Linked DNA regions of Tamandua tetradactyla. The protein of the gene in region 2 purifies or fractionates together with the protein of the main gene of each other region. This does not show direct contact. Links are inferred from orthologs where the notes say so. Each region holds a gene or a part of one and is shown on either strand. Other genes may lie near its edges.

What was found.
Region 1: the proteins of TBPL1 (region 2) and GTF2A1 purify together in Homo sapiens (affinity purification with mass spectrometry; 5 studies listed by BioGRID and IntAct, counting the BioPlex papers as one, with this or other methods). This does not show direct contact. The link is inferred for Tamandua tetradactyla from reciprocal best matches to the Homo sapiens genes TBPL1 and GTF2A1.

Annotation. Positions count from the first base shown.
Region 1 is NC_135338.1:40,817,380-40,833,566, forward strand, and holds the start of GTF2A1 (transcription initiation factor IIA subunit 1), read right to left. Parts: upstream 7,585-16,187; 5' UTR 7,152-7,584; coding exon 7,122-7,151; intron 3,303-7,121; coding exon 3,201-3,302; intron 1-3,200. UniProt on the Homo sapiens protein: TFIIA is a component of the transcription machinery of RNA polymerase II and plays an important role in transcriptional activation. TFIIA in a complex with TBP mediates transcriptional activity.
Region 2 is NC_135351.1:34,319,884-34,336,428, reverse strand, and holds the start of TBPL1 (TATA box-binding protein-like 1), read right to left. Parts: upstream 6,363-16,545; 5' UTR 6,253-6,362; intron 6,232-6,252; exon of another isoform or gene 5,842-6,231; intron 5,413-5,841; exon of another isoform or gene 5,154-5,412; intron 1-5,153. UniProt on the Homo sapiens protein: Part of a specialized transcription system that mediates the transcription of most ribosomal proteins through the 5'-TCT-3' motif which is a core promoter element at these genes. Seems to also mediate the transcription of NF1. Does not bind the TATA box.

The DNA.
Region 1 (16,187 bases), on a different chromosome or scaffold from region 2:
ACACCTTCTCTAAAGTCTAAACAGTGTTTTTCAAGCTGCAGATTGCAAACTGCAGATTAATGAGCCGTTAACCCCATTAACTAGCACCCCACTTAATCCTCATTCTAAAGACAAAACTGTCACTAAAACTTATACCCTATTTTTTAGCAATACCAAACTACTTGAAGTTCCCAGAATATTGTATACATGTCTCACTGTCTGTACCTTAGTAGACTATTCTTTATGATTAGCATAATCCTAAACAATGGATTGTTTAAACCATAATTCCTAAACAATGCAAATATCAAAGACACAAAGCCTCAAAGAAAAGTAGCAGCTTTTTGTGCTCTACTGCCTCTGGATCTTAGAAATTTCTGTTGTTGTACTTATCATACCATGACCACCTTTTCTTTTAAAGTATGAACTCCTTCAGGGCAGAGACTATGTATTAATCCAGGAGCTAACAAAATGACTGAAAACTTATCAGGCATTTAAGACATTAAATTCAAAGAAGTGAGGGTAAATAAGAATCCTGTTTTCTAGAGTAGTGTTTTTCTACAAGGATGCTACTGACATTTGGGCAAAATAATTCTTTATTGTAAAGGATAATCTTACAGGAAATTTAACATGAAGAATATGTAACATCCCTGGCTACTTCCCACTAAATGCCAGAGGAGTCCACTAGTCATTAAGATAAGTAAACACGGCCCCATGCATTTCCCAACAACTTGGGTGGTGGGAGAATGGGGTAGTAATCTACTAAGAATCAGCATTTACTAAAGTGTCATAAACTGTTCTAGATGCCGTGAGGAACACAAAAATAGTACCACACAAGTACTCATCAATCTTAAAATATCAAATAATATAAAATTTGAATTATTGAATGTTTACAATTTCTCTATTTCATTTTATATACAATTTTATTTATCAAAAGATTCTTTTGTAAACAGCTGTTTAAACAATTTAACAGTTTTCTGTGACAGCAGTAATACTAATAACTTTTGAAGACAACAAAGAATACTGAATTGTTATTTATTTATTTATTTATCTTAGAAAACAGAAAGAATGCTCCTTTCCCCCCATTTTTATAGTCCTCTCTCCCCCCAACACATAGCTATTGTTTCAGGCAGCCCCACCTAAATTATCAGGTCTCTGAAATTAGATATGAAGAAAACGCATTTTCTGTTTCCCAAATGATTCAAGATGTTAATTAGACTAATAATAGAGTAACATCTATGAGCTCTTATTGTATACTTTTTACAAGTACAGAACGATTTTTCACAATAAGACTATGAAATAGGGATTATTATTGCCTTTTTTCCTTACAGAAAAGGAAACTGAGGCATAGATAGATCCAAGATCACCAACGAAGAGCCAGCAGAACAGAATACAGCTCTGAATACAATGCAACCAACCTGACTTCAGTATCCCACCCAGGGCCATGATCCTGCAAATCAATGTCTAATTAAATTTTGCACCCTAGTCCCAACCCTAGTCCACGCTCTTAATCTCAAATATACTGCTGCACTCACAACAAGTGAGTGGCCCTCAAAATCATACCAGGTACCACCTGTCACTAAACCAAAATCTAGTTATATCTCTAACACCTTCCTTCTTACTGACCTTCAAGTCTCTACCACCTACTAGCTAAATGACCTTTGATCTTTAGCATATTCCCTCTAAGTTTATTTCCTGAGATAGGTAATTAGACATACACCTCACAGGGTTGATTCCTGCAGTAGGCTAGGCTACAAATTCTGAAGAATTCTCTTATTTTCACAAAACATCTAGCTCCTGGATAAAACACTACTAATTATATTTCTGGTAAGAAATGATAGGAGAAACAGTTTTCCCCTAAGGGCAATGCTAACAACAGCACTGTTACAGAGATACCAAGACTTGCACCAACAGCAATTTTTCCAGGAGCTGAACCCATGACTCCTGCATCAAAACTAAGAAGGAGCACATGCTGTCATTGGCAGCACCTCCCAGATCTCAGCAGCAAATCTTCTTAGGAAGAAAACATCCAGGACTGGAATAGATGAAGATCAGGTAATAATAAACCCCAGAATCAATGCTAAATGTTCCTTAGCTTTCATTAACTGTGATTACTTATTTGTACATAGCTTTGAATTAGCGCAATACCTAATTTCTAAGTCAGGAGGTCTAAAACTTTTTAGTCTCAGACAGCTTTAATACTTTTAAAATTTATTCAGGATCTCAAAAAACTTCTGTTTATGTGGGTTATATCTATACTTACAGTAACAGAAATTATAGCTAAAAATTTTAAAAACTATTAATTTTAAAAAAATATTTATGAATCCATTATATGTTAACATAAATAACATTTTTTAGTGAGAAATGCCTTAAAAGAAAAGAGCACTTGTGCTTTTGAGTTGCAAGCTGAACTGGCCACTTTTCTTCAGGGAACACGACCTCACTTGAATGAAGGACAAGCTATGATTATTCATACTTACACATTTGGCAAACCTTGTGGACCCCCTGAAAGGACCTCAAGGGAGTCCCCAGTTGTGCAGAGACCACACTATATGAACCACTATTTGAAACAATAGGGCAAAAATATTCCATTTGATTTCATTATCATTATAATACTAGGAAAACACAAATGCTAAATAAAAGTATCTAAATCGTTCTGCTTAAATCCAACAGAAAGAAAATCACCTTCCCAAGTAAAATACATTAGAAACATATTTGGCCCAGATAAAGGACTTAACTCAAGAGCCTGAAATTCTTTTATCAAGCTCTTATTCAATCCCTATAACCTAAACAGACTTCAGAATATAAGTACGTTCAGACCATAAAAAAGAAGGGACAAGTAATTAGATCATAAAATGTAAAATGCTAACTGTCCATTATTAACAGCTAATGTTCTGCCAGGCAGTATGCTAAGCACTTATTTATATGGTTATTGTATTTAATCCTCAAAACAATCTTGTGATGTACATACTATTAATTCTCATCTTATAGATAAGAAACTTGAAACATGGAAGTAGCTTGCCTAAGGTCAGAGAAAGAACTGGGATTTGAAACCAAGCTGTCAGACCCCAGAGCAGCACCCTTCAATAAACAATACTGCTTCCTGCAACAGTCAAAAGTTCATCCTATTGAAAAATTATGGATTATTTTTCAGTGAAAAGTAATGTTTGGGAAACTAAGCATTAATTTTAAAAATATATATATATTTTAAAAGGCAAACTCACAGTTTTTAGTTCCATGAGGACTTGTTCATCCACTCCATCATCCAGAAAGATTTCTCTCACATCACTAATAACATCTTCAATTACAGATCTATATAATTTAGGCTTTAAAAGAAAAATAAAAGGCTATTGAAAAATATCATTTTTCCACATACTGAACACAATAGGTTTTCACAAATTCAAAACAAATTAAATGTAATACAATAGTCATTTTACAACTACCTAAAACTAAATGGAACTAAAAAGATAATAGAGAACTAGAGTATTCAATGACTGCATGTTATAATACAAGTTTTAAGATTATTTAATAAAATTCATAAACAGAACGTCCTATATAACTGGCTCACATAGTTAACCAGTTACACTTTTCTATGTTGTAGTCAAAACACCTAATGTGATATTCAATATTAGCTTTGTGGGATACTTATGTCTGGTTCCTACTATTTACTGCATGGTCTGACCTATTCATCTCATAACCTTGCCACTAAATCTTAGACTTTGAAGAGCCCTGTGTCCTATAGTCAGCTGCCTGCCAATAATCTGCAACCTAATGAGGAGTCAAGTTCAAAATTCATCTTATTTCTGTTTTTGTCATCCAATCCGTACTTTGAAACTGTACCATTAAATCATTTATATACCCAAAATAACAGATCTTAATAGTTCCAGGAGAACAAGATACACTGAATTCTCTCCCAGGATACCTCTTTCCTTCCACTACTTTCCAGGTGATGCTATGGAAGAGAATCATGAACACTTCCAATATTTATTTTATTATTATTATATTACTATTATTTTTTAATTGGGGGGGCTTACAGCTGGCTCCTAGAAGGCTGTCAGAAGGATAAAAGGAGAGTAAACGTGGATGCCCTTTTAAAAGTATAAAGTATTTAAAATCCAAAAAGTGGGAGAAAGACCAATTAGCCCAGCTCATATCCTATGAACATGTTAGACAAAAGAAAGTTTATATATCAGAGTGATGAAATTGAAGTTAATTCATTATAAATCCCATTCATTATCACAAAGAATAAAGATCAACAATCTGTTTTTAATGACAAGTAGGATGTCATGTTTATGTTTTATACCTTGCTTAACCATAAAGTTTTATACCTTGCTTAAGCATAAAGTTTCTGACTAGTTAATAAAGTCAAGGATTTGTTCTCATAAGCAAACTTCAAACAAATAAATGTTTCATTACCACCTCTATTAGCTATTGCTATCACAAGGAAACCCTCTAAGAAAATGTGTCCTTGTCTGGTCAAAATACTGAGTCTGTGCAACATACCCAAACCACTAAAAAATATAAATTCCTTTTCATTATAAACAGAAAAAGAATTCATATGTCTGAATTCTCACTTTTGCTGTATCACTCACCAACTTGCTTTTTTATTTAAATTTGCCTCTGTGGATTTAGCATCACTCATCTATAAAAAGTGTTATCTCTTTTTATATACTTATAAAGTACCATCTATACGTAACAGTAATTTAACTATCAAAATACAAAGCTACACCTATTAAGTGGGTTTTTTTAAACCAATAATAACCCCTCAAAGCATTATAAAGCAGCAATATAACCTTAAATTGATAGTATATATCTCAAATAGATTATATAAATTATTTTTTCAGCAACTACTGTTGTTTTGGTGTTCCTGAAGCCAGTGAACCCTAAAAATCTTTGGCTTGAAAATTCAGACATTTACAGGGACAAATTTGCTTTTTCCTGTTTAATGAATCCATCTTGCTTTAAGATTTTGTTTTTATATACCTTAATGAACCCATAACTTCTGCTGGATTCATAAGCAATATCAATGAAAGAGGAAGATAAATGTTTATTCTTCATAAAGTATATGCATAAAGAACAATTTAGCAGAAATCTCTTTGAAAAGCTCTAAAAACACTGATGTTTTAAAAAATACGTGGGTATACAGCCACTATTTTAAATAAACAATTTCCAAATTATAATTTAAAATTCTAAACTTAAGCAAAAATTGTTTTTTGCTAAATACAGTAATTCAGGAGGTGTGTCCTCATTTGTAAAAAAACAGATATTCCAAACTTAAAAACTGTTAACTTCGAGGGCTATTAGTAGCATTCTCAAGTAATTAATTTAGACAGTTCCTTTCTTTAGTCCCCTGGTGTATTTTAAATGATTCAAGTTATAGACTCCTTCTGGCAAAAAAAAAAAAAAAAAAAAAAAAAATCAGTATTATAGCAACAAACATGCAAAGCAATGTTGGAAAATAAACTGTGGATTTTCATACAACAAACTATGTTACTATCTAAAGCAATAAGGGCACAGCCTACTTACTAATTTCTTAAATCCAGTCTACACTCATTACTCCCCACACAAACGTACCGTGGGCATAAGGTCTTAAAACTATTTCTTTGAAACGCCTGCTATTTTTCGATATTTACTAGCAGAAAACACAATGCAATATGAGCATCTATATTTCTAACATATTTCCTGATACTTAATGAACAAAATATTCTTACCAACATCAAATCCTTTACATTTAACACTTATTGTGGAAAGCATTTTTAAATACCCAACAATATATGCTGACACTTCCTAATAACAAGAAAAACGATTAGACCATCTAAAACCCTCTTTTAAAAAAACAAAGCGATTAATTGGACAGCAATTTGAGACTATTTCCCCTGACAAAAACAAAGAAGGCAAATCCTAGTTCCTGCACTAAAACAAAACCTTGGGGCTCCGAGACCAGCCCCAGTTAGGTGTGAAACTGCTGCGAAAAAAAAGAGCTGGACCCAAGAATAAAAAGAGCTCCGCACGCGCCTGCCTCTCGCCTCGGGAGCACGCACCTCCCAGCCCCGCTCGCAGCAGCTCTCACTATTTAAAGCCGGATCTGGTGTTTAAATGGAGAGGCGGTGACGTAGGCCTGAAAAGCACCTTCCCATCCTGGCAGAGTCTATATTAGAGAGCGGCAATGGCTCTATATAAACAGGGCAGCCAAAGGGAGGAGGACCACAAGGCTCAGGGACTGAAAAGCAGGGTAAGCGGCCGCAGCCATGATGGATCGACCCGAGTCGCCAACGGTACAGTGTCGTGCGGCCGCGGGTTTGTCTGCGGCATTTGGGGCCGGGCAAAAACGTGTTTTATTTTCAAAATAAAAATAAACGACTCGGGTGGATTAGTGATCATATTGCGTTGGTGACTGAAAAGGTTATTTATGTGACTGCTTTTTGCAAACCTACGTGATCGCAAGTAACCAAAAAGGGACAAACGGGTAGTAGTAGGCAAATTTTAAGGCGAAAGCAGGGGCACTGTAGGCTTTTTTTTGTTTGTCTTGGTGCTTTTGCTAGTCGAAGATACGATTGGGGGTTTTGCTTCCCCTTCGCCATTTTACCGATTCCGAAGGAACCGAGATAAGTGCTTTCCAACCTTCGTCCTTCTTTTCTTAAACATAAAATGGCCTCAGTGAAGGTTACCGAAGCACAGCCTCCAGGAAAATCCAAACTAATCCACCTCTACCCCTCAAAGTAGCCATTAACCTTCCACTACGTTAAAGTGGATCACGGTGGGTCTTGGGATTCGCCCAATTCCCCAGATATCTTTTTTGTTTTGAAGCTGCTCGGGGAACCTCTCGCGAGCCAGCACGGACGGGCCCGCTTCGGGGGGAAGGGTCTGCTTCCCTCCCTCCCTCCGTCCCGGCCCAACGGCCTCCGCGGCCCGGCCCGCCCCGCGGCAGCCCCAGGCCCAGCCGCCAGCCCCGCCGCTGCCGCCAGCCCTCGGCGCCCCCCCGCGCCCGCCGCCCGGCCCGGGCCGCCCGAGGCGGGAAGCGGCGACGGCGGCCGCGCGGGCGGCTGGAGTCAAAGCCGGTGTCGCCGCCGTCCCCGCCCCCGCCCGGTTCGGCCGTTGCTGCCGCCTGAACGAAGCCCCCGCCGGCCACCGAACCACGTCCTTACCACGGTGTTTGTATTTGCCGAGTTCGCCATTTCCACACACAACACAAACAAGAGGGGGGGGACCCTGAGAAAACAAAATCAAAACAAAGCCAAAAAAAAAAAAAAGCAAAGACACCCGGAGGGTGACCCAAGCCACCGCAAGATTAGGGAAAAATTTAAACTATCGAATTCTGAGGGAGTAGAGAGGGGAGCGGTGGAGAGAGGAGGAGGGGACACTCCTCTCGGAGCTAAAATCTTCGAGAACCGCCTTACAAAAAAAAAGCCAAGACCCTCCAGAGGCCTGGGGGGCGTTGCCCGCTCCCCACCCCGCGCGAAGGAGGGAAACCAACACCGGTCGCCGCTCCCCGCGCCGCCGCTGCCGCCACCGGCTGCAGCTCCAGCCGTCGGTCCGCCCGCTTCGCCCCTTTATATAGCAAGCCAACAAGCTGCGCGAGCCGCCGCCACCGCCGCTGCCGCCGAGAGACAGGGTGGAGGGGGAGGGAGGGGCGGAAAGGGCGGGGGCGGGAGGTGGGCGGGGCTGAGCGCGAGACACCGCGAGAACCGCCTGCGCAGGCGCGTCGGGGCGGAGGTTGCCGCGGGTCGCGTCGTCACGCGCCGTGGAGAGTGCTGGGCTAGCTGAGCCCGCGAACTGGACTAGTGAAGTGATGCCATCCCAAGTGTCGGATGTTCACGTGGTTGGCACCCAGGCGGAAGTCTCCGGCAGCTCCTCTGGGCGAGAAGCTTGCAAAATGCAATGCTGGAAAAGGCGCGAGCTCTAGTGACACTCGAGACCGCCTCCTGTCAGACGCGTATGTGCGCGCGCCGCGCTGCAGGAGCTACGGAATGTCTACGGGGAGGTGGTAGCAGCCTTGCTAGGAATGGCCGCTGAGGTGGCCCGGTCACGTGATTCAGCTTCCGGCCCCGGGCAGCCTCGTACACCCGGCAGTTTCAAGTGCGGAGTCATCTCTCATAGTCAGCCTCGCTGGGCTTTCGCGCCTCTAGCCCAAGTTGGCTGTTTCGCTCACTTAGTTGTGTACGTGTTTCCAAAGGGAACGAAACCTCATTCGGGCCCTGTGTTTTCACGTTCCAGAAGCAGTAACTCCCCGAAACCGGCTGCGCTGTTGTCTCCACAGTGAGAGGTGAAAATGTCTTTCGGTTTAAATTTAAATAACTTCTCACCCTTTTGGATATGCCAAAAAAAAAAAAAAAAAAAAACGGAACTCTTACCACTGGATTAAGTCAGCACATCGTGCTGATAATTTAAAATATTTCCAAACTGCTGTGACACCACACGGCCAGCAGGCCATGAGTGAGTAATCTGACCCACCAACTCGCATGGCCTCTCGCTGTGAGAGCAGGCAGAAAACGTCCATGTCTTGGAGTGCAGTTTAATAGGCTTTTGACTTGCTCTACCCAAGCAAATCCTGCCTTTATATCAGCATTTCACGGGGAACAGAGAATGCTCTGTTTGGAGAACAGACCGCACAGTACCTAATTTTCTTGTCTCTAAGAATTTTAAGATACGTGGAATGTAGTCTGAACGAACGAGAGCGTTTAGCCTCAAAAGCCAAAACAAAGCAAAATGTCGAAAGTTCCATGCCGATGAAAACAGATTTAAATAAACATCAAAAGCATCCTATCAGAGGGAGGAAAAGATGCAGCCTGTCATGACCTTAAGGAAAGGGTTAGAGATATCCGAGGCCGTTAAGACGCAGAAAATGGGAGTGGGTGATTTGTGAATGGATATAAAGAATATCCCTTAACCTTGAGATTTCTTTTAACACCATTTTATCCTCGGTTCTCCTCTTACCACCCAATTACCTTACAGTTCCCTGCACAGCAGCTTGTTTGGGACCCTTAAAGAAAGGAGGAAAAATAACAGGAAATCATAGTGTTCTTGGAATATCAATAACGTTTCATTTCAACAACATTTGTAATTCATTTAATATTCAGGTGACAACTGGAAAAATTGTACTAAACAATACCGTTACAGATAAATTTCACTGAATTATTGTCTTTAGAATACTTCTTGTTTCTTCCTTAAACACTCCCAAACTGCTGATACGGAATCTCTTACCTTCCACCTTTTCTTCCCCTACCACTAGGTATTCTTAACTGTTAGAGCTTTTGCCATCAGTTAAGGTTAAAAATCACTACTGACAGGAGGTTAATGAGCATCTATGAGATTTACTCTCCACAGAATTAATCCTCTCTGAGGGGGTTGATGAGATATAAACTCTGATTAGTTCTGATCTGTGAAATAATGAAATACAGTTATTGGATTAAAAAAAGGCAGAAAATCCAATCCTGAACTCAAGAACCTCAGACTCTCTGGAGGCTCTGAGTGTTGCCTATTTCTTTACAACCCCAAAATTGTAATAATGCCTAAGCATTTTATTAATACTTACCGGTCTCTTTCCTTCTTGCTCGATGTGCCTGGCATCTAAATAACCATCGTGGATTCCATTTCAATTTGTTGGTTTTCCAGCCCCTCATTTAGCTGTTATAAATTAGGTAAATGAGGTACCATGTGTGCTAGTTCCGTTTCAGAAAGAAATTTTGATCTTGTGCCAAAATTGTGGACATGAATATTTGGAGGCAACAGCCCTTTAATTCACAAAATTGAAAATTTGTGAGCAGAAATCTCCTCCTATGTAAGACTGGATTTTGCATCAGTTTTGAAATTATTTTTATCTGAACTTTTTTATTTCTTAAAGTTTGAATAACTCCTAATTTTAACATCTCTTTGTACCATATAAACATTTATACTGGATTTTGGATTTATGAACTCATATTTTATAACAGCCATATACTTAGATGCATAGTAGTGCTCTGTTACTTCATGATGACTTTTTTGTTGCCTTCTGGGTCTTGGAGCTCTGTGTTCAAATTTCCTTTGCTTATAAGAATTCCAGTCACACTGGAGTAAGGCCCACTGTAATTTAGTTTGGCTTCCTTTTAATAGAATCTTCAGAAATACTTGTTGTTTACTATTGAGTTCATACCTATAGGACTAGGGGTAAACTTTGGAGGGGCGGGTGGTAGGGAAGGCGGGTGAGTCAATCCCCAACACTGACACTAATTGTAAAGTGCAGCGCGTGATTACAGATCCATATAAGTTGTTTAAAGCAGTGGTGTACTGTATTTCAGTCCTAACAAAAATTTGTAATCAGATTTCACTTTATTTTTAGGCCTTTACAGAAATCTGCCAGTTTCCACATGCCATAATTTCTTTCATGGGGTAATATAAGAAAACTGCTAACCACACATATTACCTCTACACATGTGAGAAGGCTTTTTTCCCCTACTCGTTTTTTGTTTTTTTTTATGTTCTCTTCCTCCCTTCTAACTTATGGTTTGAAATTGCTACTGCATGTCTTAAAACGATAATTATACCAAAATATAAGGTGTTTTGTGGTCGCTTAGAAAAAATAAAGTAACTTAGTGAATACGGAGTGTAGAGCTTTTGCGGAGTGAGCTCCAGATCAGGCTTGGCTCTGCTGCTTGTTTACCATGTGACCTTCTGCAGTAACAAAACCTCTCTGTCAGTAAGATGGGAATAATAACCACTACCTATGATTGTTGTGAAGATTAAAGATATTGGAAAGCTCTTTCACAAGTATTTGGTATATGATTTTGTTGTAAATGATAAGTCTATAACAGCTATACATATCATTAATGCAGGGGAGGAGGGTTTTTTTTTTAACTCACTTTATAGACTACCATTAGATTTTTAAAATGATGTCAGTGTTTAAGGATTAATTTATCTACAAGAAGTTTGGCCAAATTTTGATACTTCAAATGGTGACTACACAACATAATTTTTGTATGTTAATATAATAATTTTATGCTGTAATGAGATATGACTTCTTAAGCTGATGCTGATTTGCCTATTAGAGTTCATCAAATTATTGAACTACATATGTATCCAACGATATCAAGCAAAATTATGTTTGTATTTGCTCATTGACTCAGCAATGCTACCTCCAGGAATCTCTCCCAGAGATACATTGGCAAAAATGTGAAAATATGTATCCCCAGGGCTATTCATTGTGAGACTGTTTGTAACACCAAAAGACTAGAAAAACTGCCACTTGCCCCTATGGGATAGGTTCAGTGAACTATGGCACACAATGGAGTATCTTGGTACTCTGCCCCTATAACAAGGAATGAGGAATATCTCTGTACCCCACTTTGCAATGATCTCCAGGATCAAGAGAGAGAAAAGTGTTCTTCGTATGCCACCACTTACAGAAACAGGCTATACAAAAATATGTGTACATGGGTTTGCTTGTATTTTTTTAAAAAGAAAGGTAAACTATAAAAATTTTAAAGACAGTTATCTGGAAGAATAGTGAAGGAATAGCATGGAGGGGACAGGAATAGAAGCTAGACTTATTTAAATATACTTTATTTCTTCAATTTGTCTCTTGAACCATATAAATTTTTTATTTAATTATAAAACAAAATTAACTTTTGAAAATAAATTTCCCAAATTGAAAATAAAATGAAGCAAGTCAACCTAACTGTACTTAATAGTAGAACAGAGGAATTTTTTCAAGTGACTTTAAAACACATAGATTTTGATTATATAAATGTAGCAATGTTATCGAAAGGCAAAAAGAAATGCCAGAAAAAGTTAACTGTTTTCAGTATTTGTGTTGATGGTGATGGTGTTTATAAATTTATCCTATACATGTATTTATATATATTTATATATATATTTGTATATGTATTTTTATGTGACGTGGAATAAAGAAAATAAGTAATAATGAGAAGTTCTAATTATCGCAGGATTTTCAGCAAGGGAGAAAGAAAATGATTTAATAGAGAAAAAGCTAAGTAAAAATTCTGAATTTAAATAAGAAATTTTATGATGCATTTTATTTAAAATCTTTTTCCCTAGCCCTTAAAGGACTAGAAACACTGACCAACCAGTATCAATGAGTACACCTATTACTCAGATTATAGTATTTCAAAACTGGTGCACCTTGCAGAAATGTCTAATTCTGATTCCAGAGCAAGAAATGTCTTTTTTCCTTAAAAAAAGAAAAGAAATTCAATGTTTTGTCTTACATAACATTCATTGCTCTAAAAAAGCCTACAATCACCAACCTCATAGACGTGAGCTACGAGCACATCTATGACCTTGAAATTTTTCATGAAGAGGAATTAAGTCTCCTAGGAAATATTGCTGACTCCAGGACTGAGGCAAGAAAGGAATTAATTCAAAACAAATGAAATTTCCAGTTATCGCTCAGCATAAAACAAAATGAATCTAGAGCATTTTGTTATACAGATAGCCAGGAAAGTTTCTAAGGTCACGTCAAAAGGTTTCAAGGAGCCAACATGGAGAGATTGCCACTGACAAAGAGAAGACAGGTTTAACTACATCAAATATTTAAATCCATTAATTCATAATACTAAAAACAAGTCAAGCAAAAAATTCTAATTGGACACCACTGGAGGTTGCTAGAGAAACAACTTGTTATTTTGAAAATTGGTAACAAAGGGAAAAAAAAATCAAAGGCTTTCCTGTATGGACTGTACTACTGAGTACCACTTAGTAGATATAGTAGGTTGAATGGCAGCTCCCCAAAAATGTATGTCCATTTCCTAATCCCTGGAACCTGTGAATGTTACCTTATTTATTGAAGCCGAGTGAAGGGAAGGGTACAGTTGAGTTCATTATACTACTTTTTAAATATGTTTAACCTTCTCTGTTAAAATTTTTTTAAAAATAAGCCAATGAAGTATTATCTTACAATAAGTGATGGTTTTTTATCCACACGATTTGTCTTCCAGATAAATGACTTCATCACTATTCAAGGAGAAGGCTGGTGTTGTGCTATAAATGTAATTAATATTAAACACTGTATTTAATTACATGGGTTTCCTCTTTCTCTGATTCTTGGATCTCAGCTATGTGTGTCTCATCTTGAATCACAACTTGAATAGCTGTGATTTTGGACAGTTAAAAATGGTGAAAATTACAGGGTGATTGCTCAAATGGTTTTATTAAAATATACTTTAATTGGTCAAGTGTTTTTTATTTTACCCGTCACTTTTATATTCTTGCTCGAATGCCTTCAACTTGATAGAGGCGTCTGATGTGAAAGAGTTCTACATAGATGACTTTCTAATAAAATACATCATAGCAGGTAAATTAAATCTATAATCTACAAACTATATGTTGACACAGACTGGTAGATTAAAGCTGTATTTAAATTTAATCCATTCCTGTGGGTATGTACCGGTTTGATGAGGCTACTTCAGTTAAGGTATGGCCCATTTTATTCAGGATAGTTCTTATTCCTATTCCTAGAGTACTTTATAAGAGAATGAAATTCAGACAAAGAGAAAGAAAGCCCTGGAAGCAAGAGGCTGAAGTCGTTGAAATCTGGGAGACAAGAGAGAGACTAGTAGATGTTTCCCACGTGTTATGCCATGTGACAGAGTAACCAAGGATTGCTAGCAGCTGGTCTTCTGTGTTCTTTTCCAGAACTTACCTTCCTCTGATAGTAGAGGTTATAAGTAGAGAGAGCAAAGATTATAAAAGGAGAGGTGGCAGGAAGATTATTATAGATTCCAGACCAGAATGGAAGAAATCTGAAAAAATACCAAGGGCTAAACTTTACTTTCAGAAGAGTAACTGAGAAAATCAAAGGGTACAGTCCAGATACTTTCTTGAGAACTAAGGCTCTGGATTAATGCTGTGGGATAATCTTTGAAGAAGTAGTTAAATAGCCAGTAGACAAAAAAGAATGAATGTTTAAATAGGAAAAAGATTAAAAAAAAAAAAAGGATGGACAATTTACCATCTTGTGTATCTTGCCTAATTGAGAAGCAATAATAATAATGGATGTATACTGCTGTGTTTGGGTTTTAAAAATCTTTAGTCACACATTATCTCCTTTACAGTTTAATACAGTCCATGAGATAAGTAATATCATATCTATTCTGTCTGAATAAAGGTTAAGTAGTGACTTGCCAAAGGTTATATTGCTATTTACAGGTGAAAGCCTAGATGTGACAAATTGAGGACTCTTTCCACCTGTCTTAGAGGTAAGATGCTGCCAGGCCAAGATAATGTGAAGGGTTCAAATTGAATTGTATTGCTTCCCGAATTTTTTTTTAATGTGTTTATTATATAACATTTTAACCTTTATTTGGAAGAAGAGAAATGCTAATGAACACAAAACGGAAACTTGAAACTAAACTTTGTCCCAGTTAAATATAATTAGCCTCATAAATGCATCATCCAAAAGCATTTATTAAATTATTTGAAGTAATTGATTTCTGTGTTCCTATATCAGTTGAAAATCATCAATTTCCAGTTACAAATAGCACTTAATTATTGAATTTGTCAAAAGCAGTAATTTTTAGTGAGGTTCTTGATAATCAAAACATTTCTCTTTAGCATCATAATTATATTTAAATGTTTTCATAAACAAGAAAAATGTAGGATGACTTTTTACTGGTAAAAAATTGGGAAAGGCTCTTCTTTCTGTATTACCTAGTGGGTCATTGTTTTAAATAGAAAAAATACTACTTGTAGTATTAGTATTTTTATGGTAATACCTATGGTAGTATAGATAGAAAAAATTAAATTGTACCTGTGCCAATGTTAGTGAGCAATAAATTAAAAGAGGCAGTGTGTATAAAAAGAAATAGTGATATGGGAGGCTGAATGAAAGACATAATCTGTGTTCCTGTTCTTGTGTGAATTCATGTGAAAAGGGGACCTTTTGAAGATGTTATTTTAAGTAAGGTGTGGTCCAACTGAAATAGGGTGGCCCTTAATCTGTATTATAATTGGAGTCCTTTAAAGCTGAAGAAATTTGGACACACAAAAAAGTCACAGACTTTTTGACAGAAACGATGATTGTGTAGTGGTGGAGATGGAAGGTAAATTGGAATGAACTGAAAGGAATAGTGAGAAAATGGTGAGAGGAAATATAAACAAAAGTCACAGAAGACCAATAGAAGAAGCCAGAAGTCATCAGAAACCAGAGAGCAGACACAAAGAAAAAGACATCACCATGAGATGGGAGGCAGAGATGCAAGCCAGGGAACCCTAAGAATTGCAACAAGCCAGCACCAGAACACTGTAAACTTTGGGGAGAAGGCATTGCCTTACCGATATCTTGATTTTGGGCTCCTCTAACCTCAAAACTGTAAGCCACAAAATCCCCACTGTTTAAAGTCAACCCAGTGTGTGGTGTTTGTCAGACCAGCCTGGCAGACTATGACAGGTGGTATGGCAAATACCCAAGAGTATGAGCGTCAGAGTCAAACACACCGCAGTGCCGGTTCTGGTTCTGACCATGCACAAATAACTTCAGAGAATCCATGGAAAGTTCCTTAGCACAGTGCTTGGCGCAGAGTAAGTCCTCAGTAAATGTTAGATACAACAACAACAACAGTAATATCAATAGTACAGAAAATTAAATGATGAGATCTATTCTGTGAAACAAAGATTAGGGATCAGAATGTAGTTCTGAACTGAATCCACCAAGTAAGCAAATCTACATCTACCTTCTAGGTGTGTAACTTTTTCCATCAAAAATTTTAATCAAAGAAGAATGCAATTTCGATTTTGAGACAAAACATATACAACACTCTAAATTAGTATATTTTTCACCAATTTCTTTGATGTTGTCATAATGGAATGACTCAGATCATTTAAAATGAGAAGCTTTATATAACTCCTAATCAAGATACATAGTTGCTTATTTGTCAAGTCTAGAATGCATTACCATTCCTCAATAACTCTTAAATTCAAATGATGACTTTCAGTCTTCCAATACATTATGTTGCAGTTTGTAATGAAGACCATCAATACTATTATTTGGCCACAGGATGGCAAAATACACCTGAGGTGAAGACAGAACACAAAACTAGGAAATCACAGTCCCTAGGGTTGTGTTTCATTTCTTTTCCATGTATTTTTAGCTTCCTTAATGAAATTTTTCACTAACAATGGTTTTCTTTTCAAAGGTTAGAATTCATCATGTATTTGCTTCTTAATTATGTCCAAATGTTTCTCTCTAATCTTGGCTAACAAAAACACAATCAAATCCAAGT
Region 2 (16,545 bases):
CCTATTTGTACAGTTGTGAAAGAGCAATGATTTCCACCAGCATGTCATTAGTGGAAAGGAAGCAGGACGTATCAGAAATTTTATTCATCTGGTCTTATTTTATAAATAAAGGGTGCTAAAAATCCAGAATTTGGTTTAATAGCTGGTTTCGTGCTGGGGAATAACTTTACAGCCGTTCTTGAACCACCTGAATTACTGGAACACTACAGCCATTTCAGAGACTTCTGGAATTACAAGAAAGTTACTATTTAGAACATTAATAGTAACAGAGAAAACACAAGTTAAAATGCTTGACACTGACATACTAGCAAGTTTCAAGTTTACCATCCATTAAGTTATCCAAGTAAAAAGTAGTGTCTTCTAAAGCAGGACAAGTTCCCCCAGGTGAAACCACTGGTATCTTTCCCTCATATTCAGAAGGCTGTGGAGTCACAAAAGCAGCACACCCCTGGGGACTAGCACTGAAGTCACTGTGATGCCAGCCAGGCCACGCTTGGTTGACTCTCTTTCCCCAAGAAACAGTGAGGTCTCTTTTCACCTAGTCCACTGCCAGTGAGAACCAGATGCCTGTGTGACAATTCAAAGTAAAATAGAAGTACTCTCCCACCAAACACCTAAAAGCAGAAATGAATCCTCTAATAGCTAGTGATCACAAAGAAGAGATTTCACTGCTTCAGGCGAAGGCCTCCAAAAGAAAGTAACAATTATTCAAATGGCCTAAAGGTTCATCTTTAATATACTATCTAGTAACACTACTATTGGCACCAGCTAACATTTATTCATCTCTTAACTTGGCGAAGCACCCTCCAAACTTACTTTCCACAGCAATCCTATGACATAGGACTAATATTAATATTAAGCCCATATTGCAGATGGGAAAACTGGGACTTGGGATAGTGAAATAATTTGGTTAAGGCTATGCAGCTAAAAAGCAGCAGGGTTCCCATGCTGGGCCCAGGCAGCCTATGTTGAGAGCATACACTAAACACTACACAAAACTACTTCCAGCCCTCTAACCCAAATGTCAAGAAATTTTGATCAAAATTTCATTCTGTCTCAACAATGAAAATACTTGTAACTTATCTGGAGGAAGAGGGTAACACCCTGATTCCTCTGAACCACGTAGTCAAAAGAAACAAACATTTTCTTCTTTTAAGATGCTACAAGTGCTCACTAAGTTAAAAAACAAAACCATGCCATGGCCAATGTCTTTAGATGAATGCCTACTGTGCTAAGCACATCCAGTACTAAATCATCCACACAGGTCCTAAGAAAACTGTCCTTGACACATCACCTGATTTTCAGTATTGTTTCTGAAAAAGTCAACACTCAAATGCTTGTGCAGCATTTCGTGTGTGTGTGTGAAATCTTAAACAGTGTCATTACTGACTCCCACATAAAGGCAGATTTGAACTGCCCCAAAAGTTCCTTTGCTGTTTTTAAAACATTTAATGGGACCCCTAGCAGCACATGTCCGGTTCCAAACCAGCTATTAAACCCAAATTCTGAATTTTAAGGTAAGACCAGATGAGTAAAATTAGTTACAACGTGATTCCTTTCCACTAATGACATACGTTGTGGATTCTTGCTTTTTACACTACACACAAACACTCTATCTCTCATCTAATTAAAAGATTGACTGCCTCATAATGCAAAAATGAAGTCTGTCTACACCACCTGGAAAGATCTGAGATATTTATAAAATGATTACCCTTTTGAAATTTCTCAAAGGGATGTTGTGACAAGCACAAACATCATATCTACTTGTTATGCTTTTGACTGTTTCAAATTGGTTCAAACAATGCCTTAGTCATATTTGAGGAATTTTTGCTGTTTATAACTTACAGCCAGGATAAAAAGTTGGAAATTTTATGCATCGAGCACGGTTCTCTCATTCCACCAGCTAAGGCCCTCTTCATGGGCTCTCCTGAAGTAAAATAAATAAAATATCTGTCTGTGTGTGTATCCGTGTATGTGTTTCTCCTTCTATTAACACTTTTACCTCCAAAACACACACACATACAAGAACATACAATGTGATGGTGACTCATAATCTGGTCCCTAAGGAACTTCTAATTTAGCAGGCATCATGAAATATGTACATCAATAACTACAGTCCCAGGCAGTATGCGATAAAAGGGTTTAACGTTCCAATTTGTGTCTGCCATGTTGTTAGCCATACATGTCACTGCCCTGCCATCTATGTGCCAAAAGAGAGACACTTGTCATCCAGCTTTGTTTACTTGACAGGGCATTAGGTATAGAAAAGGTGCAGCAAACATGAATGTAAATTTCAGGAAATCTTCATTACTACCAATGTCACAATACAGCTTTGCTTTAAAAGCATTACAAGCTTTGAAACCAGAGACACTACGAAAACATTCTACTGTTAAGTCCTCTAAATCAACTTTATTTTTCATAGCCATAATAATTTCATCACATGGCCTATGATGCAACATAAGGAAATCATCAATCTCTAGCTTATTCTTGGCTCCTATACCTGAAAACAGCATGATCACACTCAGTTAGACTATTCAGTATTTGCTGATTTATGAAATATTGTGCCACAGCCATAAGAAATAATACTCTCCAACAAGAAAATTCAGCAGTGTGCTTCAGTTGTTTTTGCTCTACAGCAAATTCTGTACATCCTATATATGTATACTTGCATAAAAATTTTGATGTGACAATCTTTCATTTAAAATTTATGGATAGCACTTAAAAAGCTTCCTCAAATTTTGCAAAATGCATCATCAATCAAATATTCAGTTGCAAGATCATGAGAAAGGTAGGTTAAGAAATTATTTTTTGAAAAAGAACTATAAAAACCTAAGGTTCAATATAAGACACAGCAGGCATTAAAATACTTTTACCTTCAAAAGTGACTGCTTACAATGACAATATTAACACTAGTATTAGTATTAACTTAGTCTTTCAAAAAAACTTTCATTCTGAAGTTTTTAAATACCTTTTGCATATCATTTCCACACAATCATTTGGTGCTCAGCATAAGACTCTCACCTGTAGCTCATAGTTACTCAAAACACTGACATAGCTACTCCAATTTTCCAGATAAAGAGGAGGAACACAGAAGAAAACCCAACAAAGAGCAGAACTAAAAGGGTGTACAGGCTGAGTACATATGCTGAAAACCCAAAAGGAAGCAAAAATAATTTAATAACATAAAAAATTAAGACCCAGAGAGCTGGGAGAGCAGAAATTGGATTTTTAATAAAGATGGAAGCTAAGGTTTAACCTACACTTAAATATGGAAGGAAAGAGGAAAGAGCAAATACGATCTAGGTAAGTGAGTCTGATGGCAGCTCTGAGATAAGAGGGAATTCCTTAAGTCTCATGTGCACTACAAAAATTCTGGTGGCCTCAAGTAGTCACACACACACACACACCGTCCCCGACCCCGGGGCATGTCCTTTCTAGAAGAACAGCTATGTGAAAAGATTAAGCAACAGTCCTTGATTCATTACTCCAAAAGTGACAGTGTTGAGTTTTCCTTTCTAACAGTCTTAAAATGGGATTATAATTTCCCCAATGCTCATACTTCCCGTACCTGTTAAGTGAAACTGCCTACCTCTTTGTACTGACACAATATTCCTTTAATAAGAGAAACTGGACTTCAATTTGAGATTAACCGCTTAAAATGAAAATGCCCAACTGAATTTAAAACTCTATTTTGGCTAGCCCTCATTCAGGAGTCAACCATTCAATGAAGAACACTTACTGGTAGCTCATTATACTTTGATACTGATTTTGGGGGCAGAGGGGGTGAGGCTAGGGATAAGGACATCTTTTTCCTTAAGAGAAGACAAGTGTTGCCGAGAATGGTGGGGGACAACCAGAAGTTGCCGCTGCCATGACTATTTCTATGATTTACCAATATTGCTTTTATCTTTAATCGTGATTTTTACAGACAGAGCTTTGTTCCCATTGTACACAAAAATGGTATTACTGCAGTATGAACACGTGGCCTTTTCAGATTGCCACAGGCAAACCTCATTTACTGACCTAGAATGGTTTTGGAAAGAAAAAAAAACATTCAGTACGTTGATATAAGGCTTAAAGAGAAAGCATACACTGATGACTATTTCACTGGCCATATCAAGCTGTGAATAATTCCTTAAACCGGTTAGTAATCAAAGTCCCTTCTAGATTTGACTGAGGCTGTCATTTATTCAAACTTTCAAATAAAGACTGCAGACCATGCCAGGATGGCGGAACCTTCTCTTTAGATTTCTCTTTCTCAATTTCCCCGGGGAACGTGTCGTTGCTTCTTCATACAAAAATCACACCAAGCTTGTTCCCTTTTCTTGAGCCGCCAACTGAAGGCACCGTTCGTAGCCCTAAATACACAAGCCCACGCTAAGTTGCTGCCAGTGAAGCTTCGCAACGGCAGGTGACAGATGCTGCTGGAGAGCTCACAGATGTGGGTTTGCTGCATTTGAGTCTTATCGCAATAAGCGCGCTGACAGAGCCTGCAGATACACGTCCCGTGAGCAGCAGAAATTCTTACAAAACCGTCGTTTCCTCACAGATTCACTTTTAGGGCTATTCTTAAACGTTTATCCCTACTCTCATCCCTGACTAGCCCTATCCACAATTCATTTTAACTTCCTCAGTCCAGATCCCCTTTCATCCAACCTAATTTTGGTCAAAAACAATAATAACAATAATAGTAATAAAAGAAAGGGGGCAGCCGGCAGCGCCAGAATCAGGAACTGACGAAGCTGCTATTCGGGAGCCTTCCCGCCCAGGCAGGGAGGCCGCTGGAAGTTTTCTGGGAAGCAACGGAGCCTCAGCATCTCAGACGGTCCCTCTTCCCCGCGGGGAGGACTCCGCAGAGATGGAGGCGCTCCCTTGCCCCGCCGTCCCCGGCTGTGGCCGCCGTGGAAAATAAAGCCCCTCTTTTCTTCCCCCACCCCCGCCTGGAGAACGCTCCCGGCAAGTCACGCCCCACCCCCACCCCGTTATCCCTACTGGGATACCCCGAAATCGCTGCGTCCGCCGGAGGAAGGGACCTTCGCTCGGCCCGGGCTGCCCCCCAGCCGCCGACCCCCGCACGCACTCGCCGCTCACCGCCCGCCCCAGGCCGCCCCCGCCCAGGGGTCGCCGCCGCCCAGGGTCGCCGCCGGGGTTACCGTGGGAAGAGGGGGCGGCGGCAGAGGACGCGGCGGCAGCGCTGCTGCCGGTGGCGGCGGACGCGAAGGATCAGCTGGAGGACAAGGATGATGATGAGGCGGGCGCGCTCCCCAGTCTCCATGGAACTCCCGCCCCGCCCGTTGCTAGGAGCCCCCGGGGCGCGAGCTCAGGCTTTGGCGCTTTGTTGTTCCGGGTCCGGGGCGGCAGCCGCTTCCCCGCGACAATAAATAGAGGCGGCGCGGGGGAGCACAGACACGGCGCGCGGCGGCTAGAGCGCCGCCCGACAGGAAGCGCCTCGGCTCTCCGCTAGCCACCCACATCCGGTTCTCACTGCTCCGGCCCCTGCCTCTCCCCCACCGCCGCACGCTCTTCCTGCTTCCCCAGGCCGCGGGCCCCTTGCGACGAATGTGCCGGGTGGGGGTTCCCCAGGCGGTGGGGCTGGGCCTGCCCTTTTGCTCGAGAACCGTTTAAAAAGATTTTGGAAACACTTTCGCTCGCACATTTTTAGTTGATATGTAAACTGTATACGTAATTTCTGGCGTATAATATATTATAAACGGACTCTTTTTTTTTTTGGGTCAAAATCTGACAACTTTCAATATACAGAAAAGATCCGCCATTTAACATAACTGGCCGAGCCAGTTTCCTTAACAATGAAAGGAGACTTGTTTTGTGAAAAAGTCCTACTTCATTTTTTTCTCCCGGTTAGAATAAATGCTTTCATTTGCGGTATGCCGAGAAAGGTGTCGCTGAGGGAGTCCGGCCCTCCTCCACGCTGGCAGGCGGCGCCGAGAACGCGCGGGCGGGCGGACAGACAGGTGGATACCGCAGGGGGCCGAGGTCGCGCTTTTGTCGCCTGCTCCTGCGAGTCTCCTTCCTGCTTTTGGGTCCCCTCGGGAGCCCCGAGGCACTCAGAGGTTTCTGCGCCCCAGAGCCCGATCAGAGAGGGCGGCAGGCGAGGAGAGATCGGGGGCGGGAGAGGAGAGGCGGCAGGCGGGAGAGGGGAGGAAAGGGAAAGGCGGCAGAAGTGGCCGGTGAAGGGGTCGCTGCAGGCCAAGCAGGGGCGGTGAGCAGAGACCGGGGTAGGAGGGCGCTCACGTGGAAGTCGGGCGTCTGGCTACCGAGGCTCTTCCGCGGCTCTGCGCCCATGTCGCCCTGGAATGACCCGGGCACCGCGAGGGGCGCACACTCGCCAGTTTGAACCGCCGTGCCGGGGGCCTGCGGGGGCCCCTCCGGGCGTTCTGCGAGGCCCGGCGCGCGCCAGCCACGCTCCTGTAACGGCCCGGGGAGCAGCGCGGGACCCTCGGATCCCCCCGTCCCAGGCTGGCGCGGGCCCGTGCTCCCGAGCCCGGCTCCCTTCGTAAGCCTCTGCTCCCGCACGAGGCCAACGCGAAGCCCGGATTTCGTTATTACAGGAACATCAGGCGGGCTTCTGGGTGCCTGGCCTTTGATTGGTGTGAACCGAAGATGAAAAATGATAACGGGCACTGTCCTTTTGAAAGAGAAACCATGAGCTGGGTGTGAACCGAAGATGAAAAATGATAACGGGCACTGTCCTTTTGAAAGAGAAACCATGAGCTGGGTGTGAACCGAAGATGAAAAATGATAACGGGCACTGTCCTTTTGAAAGAGAAACCATGAGCTGAAGTCTAGGGGATTTGAGTGGTTGCAACCATTTGAGGATTTATTTATGAATCATCCAAGAATGCCTCTTGATCTTGTGCATCTCACTCTGGGTATTTAGAAAAATATCTAAACCTTTAAAAGCTCCCTAGAGTTGTGGAATTCCCACTTTCTTTGCGTTGCTATACTGGCATTATTGGAATAATATTAAATAATTATAGGGGCTTTTAAGGTGAAATGAAGAAAAGAAACATCAGGGTGGATTAGAAATGTCTATGGAGAGGTGGGGAGCAGACTTTTAGGAGGAGCTGAAATGGAAAAGGAATGGAGTTGGGAGTTATGCTCAAACAGTGTCCCAGGCAGAGGGAACAGAATGTGCTAAAAGCTTGCTGAGGTTGGCATTAGTGTGGCTGGGGCATCGGGGGGCAGGCAAAAGGAAGAGCAATGTAAGATGAAATTGGAGAGAAATTAGGCCTTGAACCCGCAGTTTGCTGCCTTGTAGGCCATAGGAGTTTGAATTTTCTTCCAGATATTAAGCTGAAAGTGATATGGTCTGATTTGCTAAGGAGGTGGCAGGGAAAAAATCTATTCCTGAGATTACTGTCACTGAAGAATAGCCAGTTTTGCAGCATCAGCGACCAATTAGACCAATTATGAAGTTCTCACGTGGCATCCTTCCTCAAGGGGATCCACAAACTATTTGATGTCAAGCATGCTAATTACTTTGAATTCCCTTTTTTTCACAGATTGGTCAACAATTTGCCTTGCTACAATAGTTCCTCATTGTGGAATTGGATTTGGTTTTGCTTCCAGAACCACTCTTCGTGGACTTACTGAACGCTTCTACACTGTCACATTACCCCATGCAGCATTCCTCTGACCAAATAATTCACTTCGCAGTGATAGAAGTCAGACAATGGGCCAAAGCCCATGGGCCTCACTGGTCTTATAATGTGCCATTCAGGTGTCAGCTGGGAGACAACACATTGTATGGTTCAAATATGTGGTCTATGGTCTGAACAAATCTCAATGAATACAGAAATTGGTAGTTTGAAATGAGGAAATGCAATTGTCAGATCTGAAAATGTAGAACTGGCTTAGTCAAGGTGAGGTGGAGACTGAAAAGCCATCTGTCCCAGGCTGGGAAAGTATCAGACATTGTGGGTTAGACCAGTGCTACTGAAAACTAGTAGTCGGCGATGAAATAAATACAGAAACTGAGAGAAGCATTTTGAAACTTTCAGCAGTTTGACATTGCCATGAAATCCAAGCATACCATTTTGTATTTTACAAAAGCATTTGCCCGTGGTGGTGGGTTAGTAATTAAAAAAGAAGAAAAAGTCCCAAACAATCTGATCCTTTACCAGAAAGTTTGAGAGGCACTCAAAACTTTCAGATTGCTATTTGTTATGCCTAGTAAGGCTCTAACTTTAAGAAACATGATTTTTAAAAAATAAGGCAATTGGAATATTTTGGCTATTTCTTGCCTTCCTCAGTTAGTACTATGAGAGAGACAAACTGTGGTTCAGCGTGGTCTTTCTGAAAGAGATGGGCAGTAGTGGCATAATTACGCAGCTTTGTTAAGAGAGGTACTTTCTGCCAGTGGTTGTTATCCTACACTGAAAAAGTCAGATAATATCTACTCTATGAATTCAAATAGCTAAATTTTCTGCCCTACATAAACTTAATGCATTAACTAAGAATGCAGAGATCCAGGGAAACTGGGATCAGGTATGCCTCATTTCCCAGGACTCTGGCCAGACATCTGCCATGTTCCCCTTCCAACTGAGAGAGGGCATTATCCCAATTGAGTGGTGTACCACTTAAGGGATGGAGTCTGACAGACTCTGTGGTGAAAACTGTGGAACAATAATCTAGAGAAATGGATGGAGTTACCAGGCCTGTTTCCAAGAGATAGAAACTGGGAGAGCAAGGTGCATATTCAAAGTTCACAATTGAATGAGATTTCTGATAGCACATTAATGGATTTCCCCCAAATCATAATGACAGGACTGGCAGCCAAATAAAGTTTCAAGGTATTGCAAGTATTCCTCAACTTGGCAAAAGGCACCTCCCATTGTGCTGTCTCAAAGGCAATGTTCCAGGCAGGCCTTATAGCTGTAGGAAGATGAAGTAGGTGGCCAGGGTAGTCCCAGGCAGGAGGTTTCTTCTGTCTTAGTTCTCCAAGGATGCTGTGACAAATACCATATAATGGGTTGGTTTCAACAACAAGAATTTGTTGTCTTACACTTTGGAGGCCGTAAGTACAAAATCAAAATCAAGGTCTTGATAGGCCGTGCCCCTTCCCAGAGTCAGTAGCATTCTGGGTGCTGGCTTGCTGCAATCCTGGGGTTCCTTGGCTTGCATCTCTGCCTCTGGCAGGTGGCTTCCTCTTCTAGTTTCTACTTCTCCTGCTCAGTCATCTGTGTCTCTATCTAGATTTCTTCAGCCATATGGATTAAGGCCCATCAGATTCAATTTGGCCTCATCTAAAAGTAGGGTCTTCAAAGATTCTATCCTCATAGGAATCCACACCCTGACCTCTCCTTACATCTCACCTTAGCGTATTCAAAAGTACTATTTACAAATTGGTTCACTCCTGCAGGAACAAGGATTATGACTTGAACATATCTTTTGTGGGGGATATAATTCAATTCCCAACACCTCACTACCTCTGTAAGGCAAAGTCTTGGAGGTCAACGGAACAAAGAAATCTTGCATTTGATTGGTTGATCAAAGATCTAAATTCTCTGCTAACCTAGTGATTCCTTATTGCCCTTGTCTGGTAGGGTATAGTATACACTCACATCCATTGTATATGCTTCTCATTTTTGCCATTTCTCTTTAGTTTTTCTATCCCATTTCTTCCCCCTTATTGCCTACTGGTGCATTGGGGGTAGATTCATTACTCAACATTTAGCAACATTGGGACTTCATTGAGAATGACAAGACTCAAATATCCTGAATTTGGAGCTGGATTCAATGGCTGGATGTTATGTGGATTAAGTACATTTGCAATTGCACATGGAATATGCAAAAAACAAACAAACCCAAAAATCCATAGTTGTTTTGTGTTAAGAGGACCTGGAAATATGGGGAAAACTATTTGGGTGTGTGCATGCCCATGTGTGTGCTAAGCTGCCAAAGGTTCAAGTGTAGAGGCTGTTTATTGTTTTTGTCAGCCTAACAGTCCTCTCCTATTTTGAAAATAGTACCTTTTTCCCCTTATTTGGGGAACAACTCTTCTCTTTCCCTACTACCAATCTTAAGATGTCCTTCAAAATAGGAGCTGCAATAGCCAAGGCAATTGGTGGAAAGGCAGATTTCTCACCTAAGCTGGGCCAACCATAGTACATATAACTAATTGATTTATTGCCTCTCAGTTCCAAATTCAGTCTTTTTGCCTTCTCTGTGAAAATGGATCTGGACTCTGTAAATATTCTTCTTTTGTTAGCTACCACAATGTTGAGTTTAGTCACTAAAGGATGCTGGAAAGAGCATGCAAAAAGGAAAGGATTTTGCTTCCTGGTTCCAGTGTACTCCGTTTGTTAGGTTCCTACAACCCTGATGACTCCTCTTGTGTGCAGTTCCTGTAGCATATGAGGCTTCCCAAGCCCCATTCACAGGTGACCCTGAAGGACAGTGGTGAAGGAAAATCCCCCCATTGAGCAAAATTTGATCAATATATTTGGTTGTTCACCATGTCTGGAATGAGAAATGGCCAGAAGTAGAGATCTACCTTTATTCATGGGTGGTTGCTAATGGTTTGTCCAGTGCTCAGATATGGATTAGAAGATTTGTGACAAGTAAGGTCTATGGGTGTACTTCTCTGAATGGGAAGGTATCTGTGTCCTATGAATGCCCACTAAAGGTATCCACTTCAGAGAAGACTCTTAATCAGGTGAACAAAATGTCATACTGTGGGTTTCAATGAGTCTCTTTTCCTAGCCACCCCTGTGCTTGCCCAATGAATGATGCAAAAATGACCGTGTGGTAGGGATAGAGACTATGCATGGGTTCATCAAGACAGACTTCTCCTTACCAAGGCTAACCTGGCTGACACTACTTCTGAGTGCCTAACTAGCCAGCCGAGATCAAATTAGGTCCCTGATATGGCACCATTCTCCAAGGTCATAAGCAAACAACCTAGTGGTTGATTGATTGCCTTGGACCACTTCCATTATGGAGGGAGCAAAGATTCATCCTCACTGGAATAAACACATATTCTGGAAATGGATTTGCCTTCACTGACCATAATGTTTCTGCTTGCACTGCTATCTGTGAACTCAAAAAATGCCTTATATACCACCAGGACATTCCATGCAATGTTGTATCTGATCAGTGACCTCATTTCATAGCGAAGGAAGTGCAGCAATGGGACTGTGCCTATGGGATTAACTGGTCTTATTACATACACAATCATCTAGATACAACTAGTTTAACTGAAAGAAGAAATGACTTACGGAAGACTCAGTACTGGTCCCAATTAGGAGACAATGCTTGGGAATGATGGGATTCTGTTTTATAGGTTGTTTTGAACCATAGACCATTATATGGTGCTATCTCCCCCAAGCCAAAACACATTTGAGTCAAGAAATGGAAGTGGGACTGTCTCTTCTCATACTTTTACCAAATAATTCATTCTCAGAATTTTTCCTTCTTTACCTGGCAACGTTGACCACTGCTGGTTTGGAGATCTTAGTCCCCAGGGGGAGATGCTTCCATCAGGGGACACAACAATGGTTCCAGTAAGTTGGAAGATAAGACTATCACCTAGACTTCTAATGCAACTGAACCAAAAATCAGAAACAGGGAATAGTCTACTGGCTGGAGTGGTTGATCCTGTTTTCCAAGGGAAAATTGCTTTGTTTCTATACAGTGGAGGCAAGGAGAATGATCTACAACTCAGGGGATTCTCTGGGGTTCTTCTTAGTGCATCCATGTATGATATTAAGGATAATGGAAAACTTCAGTAACCAAAAATAAAAGATACAATGTTTGAGGTACTCCAAGTCTTTGGGTCACTCCACCATGTAAAGAATCCCAACCAACTGAGGTTCTAGTTAACAGTAGGGGAAATACAGAATGGGTAGTGAAAGAAGGATGCTAGAGAAATTAATTATATCCTTGTGAACAATTACAGAGACAAAGACTGTAATGTCTTTACATATTTCCTATTGGTTTGTTATATGTGTTTATTTGTATTTATTCCCCATTTTCTCCTTATCATTGATTTCTACTTTTATTATATATTCAAATTGTTAGAAATTAACCTTACAATTTAGTCTTTAGGTAACAGAATATTCGGTGGTACTATGACTGAATTTAAGGCTTGATTAATATAGCCAGTGATGCATGGAATAATGCATAATATTTTGTATGTCCTCATTCTGGAGGAAGGGCAAGATGAGAACTACACGTGGTTGTATCTTGCCAGGTAGAAACACAGTATTTTTTTCTTTTTTCTTTTTTTTTTGTAGAAGAGCATATATAGAAGCTGGATAGTCAGGCAGGTTCCCTTAGTGTATATGCCTCCTGCAACACATGAGCTTCCCCAGTGCCCATCTCCTGCAGCTCTCTCCCCTGTCCCTGCCATCCCCTCTCCCTCAGGTGGTTTTGTAGCAGAGTGCCCCCAGTGAGAAACGTCCCTGTGAACTGCTTTCCTTAGCACTAGAAGGAGAGATTTCCAGCCAATTATGTCTGCAAAACATCATGGCAAGTCCTCTGTCATCCAGAGAGCCACAGTCATGCCCTCTCCAACAGGTCTGAATCTCAGCCATGTAAAGAGGGGAGAAGGCTCTTCCCCGGGTGCGCCATCTCAGCCTTAAGCCTAGCGGCTGCTCCTTATCTGTGCTATTCCTATGATCTTTAGAGTTCTCTTTACTTCTTAATAGCCAGTCACTCAATATTCCAATCCCCTGTTATAGGGGATAATTCTTTATGTTATACTGTCTCTGTCCAAATTACTGTGTGATTTATCTCTTCATTGGACTCAGACTGATGCATTACACCACCTTCCTGGCTGTGTGGTTGATTTGGAAGTGGACATGTGCCCAAGCCCAGCCAAGGAGTGTCCTGCCCAAGGTTTTACTGGGGTAGAAACTGGGGAAAAGAGCAATTTCCTTTTCTGGTGGTGAAACTGGGAAGATGTGACTTAAGAGCTATAAACTGACATTCTCCTCTGCAAGGAAGAGAATAACGCTTACTACAGAGGACAAAACCGACATGGAGAGAGAAGCAGAGACAGAAGATGGAGAGAAAAAGAGAAGCCCATGTAAAACTGCTTGCATGGAAAGACCCAGTGGCATAATGATTAATTCATCTTAAATTTATCTGTAAGTTTAACAGCATCCCAATACATGGGCAGAACTACCTTTTATGGAATTATTCAGATTCTAAATTTCATCTGGAAAAGAAAATGCAAGAGCATATCATAGAAAATTTTGCAAAAGAAGAACATTACTACTGCCAGAAATAAAAACACACTAAAAAGCCATAAATAATGCACTGTTTTATGGCATTTGTCATATGTATCCTTGGCTCTGTTAGATTTTATCATTGAAAGATGATAAAAAAGATCCTTGGCTCTGTTAGATTTTATCATTGAATCTGTATCCATCTAGTTTGCTTATAGATGATTATGTAACTTTCTACACAGATGGTATATGAGTACATATCTTTGTTTCAATTCAGAAAATACACGCACAAACAAGCACATACACACACACAAAGTGGTCTCCATTTGTTCCCCTCTTCCTACCAGCCCACTGCCCTCCTCAGAAACAGCACTCTAATGTGACATCTAATTTATATGCTCCAGAAGTTTTCCACTGTTTTAGATTTCTGTTTGACACTTCATCCAGGATGTTGGTGCTGCTATGAATTTATTTTTCTGCTTGTATTTTCTCTGTCATTTTAATAGATGTTTGGAGGGGCACAGAGGTAAATATGGGTCTTTATATCACCTACTGGAAGCTATTTTGGTTGGTCATTTGATAAATAATTCACAAGATAAAGCTGCCAGAAATTTGTATGTCCTAAACAACATTATTTTGAAATATATTAAGTAAAAGTATTATTTAGAAATGAAATTCACCCTTTAGTGGTAGAAAAGTTACCCACTTTATTTTCATTCTGGAAACTGTATCATACTTAGCAACTCAGTTAAGTTTGGGGGTATAAGTTGTTACAAGAAGAGTGTCTGGAAGACTTGTGTTGTTCGAAAGAGGGGTTAAGGTGTGCTTAATTTTAAACCTTGAGTTGTTAAATATGATTACTAAAAGAATATTACTAATCCTAAAAGAATAAAATTACTATATAAGTAACCTGTCTAGCAGAAGGCAAAAATAGAAGAAGAAAATGAATATGTAAACAAATATAAAGAAAGTCAAGAAAGGAGAAAAAGAAGCACAGAAAAATAAAACAAATAGAAAGTACAAAGTAAGATAGAAACAAGTCCTAAATTTCCAGTAAGCATAGTTCATGTGAATGGATTGAACTCACCAGTAAAAAGACAGAAAATACAATAATACATGAAAAATAATTCAACCATGTTCTGTGTATAAACATATTGAGCTTACCAGAGAAGGACAAAAATTTTTTCATTGGATTTAAAATATAAACAGTTCTGATTGACTAAGATGGCAGTGTGAGATGTTTCCCACAGAATCTTTGAACAACTAGAAAAACTGGAAGAGCTATCTTCCTCAAAACACCAGAAAACAGTTAAAAAGTTACAGTAACTGGACAAGAATCAAATGAAGGAAACAAGATTTAAAAACAGAAGGCAAGTCTCATGGCACCCTTGTTGGTCCCTCCCAGGCACCCCACCCCACCATGCAGTTTGGAGCCAGCCTGTGCTCCCACTGTGGGGCCCTGGTTCTACTTTGGAAAGAACAGAGTCACCCCCTATGGGGTGACTCTGTACATACTGGGGTGTCTGTGTGTGGGTGCCCATCTGTGAGGTGGCAGCCTGCAAGACAGAACCAGGAAACTTGTCTTGTGCTCACCCTCCAAAAATGTATCTTGCAGGAAGAAGTAGCTTATAAGAAACAATTAAGTAAAAACGGCCTGGGGCAAAGCCTTACCTGCTTCAAGTCATACAACAGGGCTTCTGGGCGGGAATGAGAGTCTATTTCATAAGGAGTGGACAAGGCATTTGAATTCCTATATATGGAGGAATTCTTAAGCCCCCGTAGTGAGCATAAGACCAGGGCAAGACAGGCTCTGAGATGTCAGAGTGAATCCTGCTCTTCACTTTCTTGATAGAAGGGCTAAATTCTGAAGGAGAGCACCAGCCAAGGCAGAGCCAGTTCGCAATGACTGCGAAAAGTGATTTTGCATTGGTTTGTTTGTTTTATTACTCCTGGCATGCAAGGAAATCTCTGCTATATCACCTGCAGAGCTAGACACAAAAGGAAGAGAAAACTCTGGAACTAAATCGCAGAGTTAACAATTTAAAAATTTTAAAATGTACAATATGCAATGAAAGAATACAGGAAAAAGAAAGAGGAAATGATGGCCCATACAAAGGAACACATAAAAATCCAGATACCATCAACAAAGATGGCCAGACTTTGGACATACCAGAAAAAGACTCTAAAAAAAAAATCATCTTTGATATGCTTAAAGAGATAAAGAAAAACAAAGAGAAATAGCTAAAGGATATCAAGAAAACAATGAATGAACAATATAAGGATCCCAATAAAGAGATAAAAATTTTAAAAGGAACCAAACAGAAATATCAGAGTGTGAAGATCACAATAACCCTAGAGGGTTTCAAGGACAGATTGGAGTTGGCAGAAGAAAGAATCAGTGATCTTGAAGGCAAGACATTTGAAATGACTCAGGCTGAGGAGCAGAAAGGGAAAAAAGAATAAAAAAAGCAAACAGAGCATAAGCGATCTGTGGGATACCATCAGATGTATTAATGTACACGTTATGGGAGTTCCAGAAGGAGAAGAAAGAGAGAAAGGGGCAGAAGGACTATTCAAAGAAATAATGGCAGAAAACTTGCCAAATTTAATGAGAGACATGAATATGAATATTCAAGAAGTTCAATGAACACCAAACAAGATAAACCTGAAGAGAACCATGCCCAGACACATATTAGTCAAACTTTCAAATGCCAAGGACAAAGAGAAACTTCTGAAAGTACAGGAGAAAAACAAAAGGGAGTCCTAGTAATCCTAAGTGCTAATTTCTCATCAGAAATCTTGGAGGCAAGAAGGCAGTAGGGTAAAATATTTAAAGTGCTGAAAGGAAACCACTGCTGACCAATAATTTCATATCTTGTGAGACTGTCTTTCAAAACTGAGGGGGAAATTAAGACATTCCAAGATAAACAAAAGCTGAGGGATTTCATCACTAGATGGGCCCCACCTTCTGGTGATTCTTCAGAAAGTTAATAGTAGAATTACTGTATGACTTGGTGTGCCAGTTTGAAAGTACTATACACTCTAGAAAAGCTATGTTTTAATCCTAACCCAATCTTGTGGGAGCAACTGTTTCTTTTAATCCTGATTCAATACTGTAGGCTGGAAACTTTTGTTAGATTATATCCACAGAGATGTGACACCCCCAATTGTGGGTATAATCTTTTGATTAGATGGCGATGTGACCCTTCTAGGTGGGTCTTGATCAGATTTCTAGAATCTTTAAAAGCAGAAGCATTTTGGAGAGCTGAAACAATAAAAGTGATAGAAACCACAGAAGCCTCAGAGCCAACAGAAGCTTCACATCAGAACTGACAGACGTGGACACATGGAA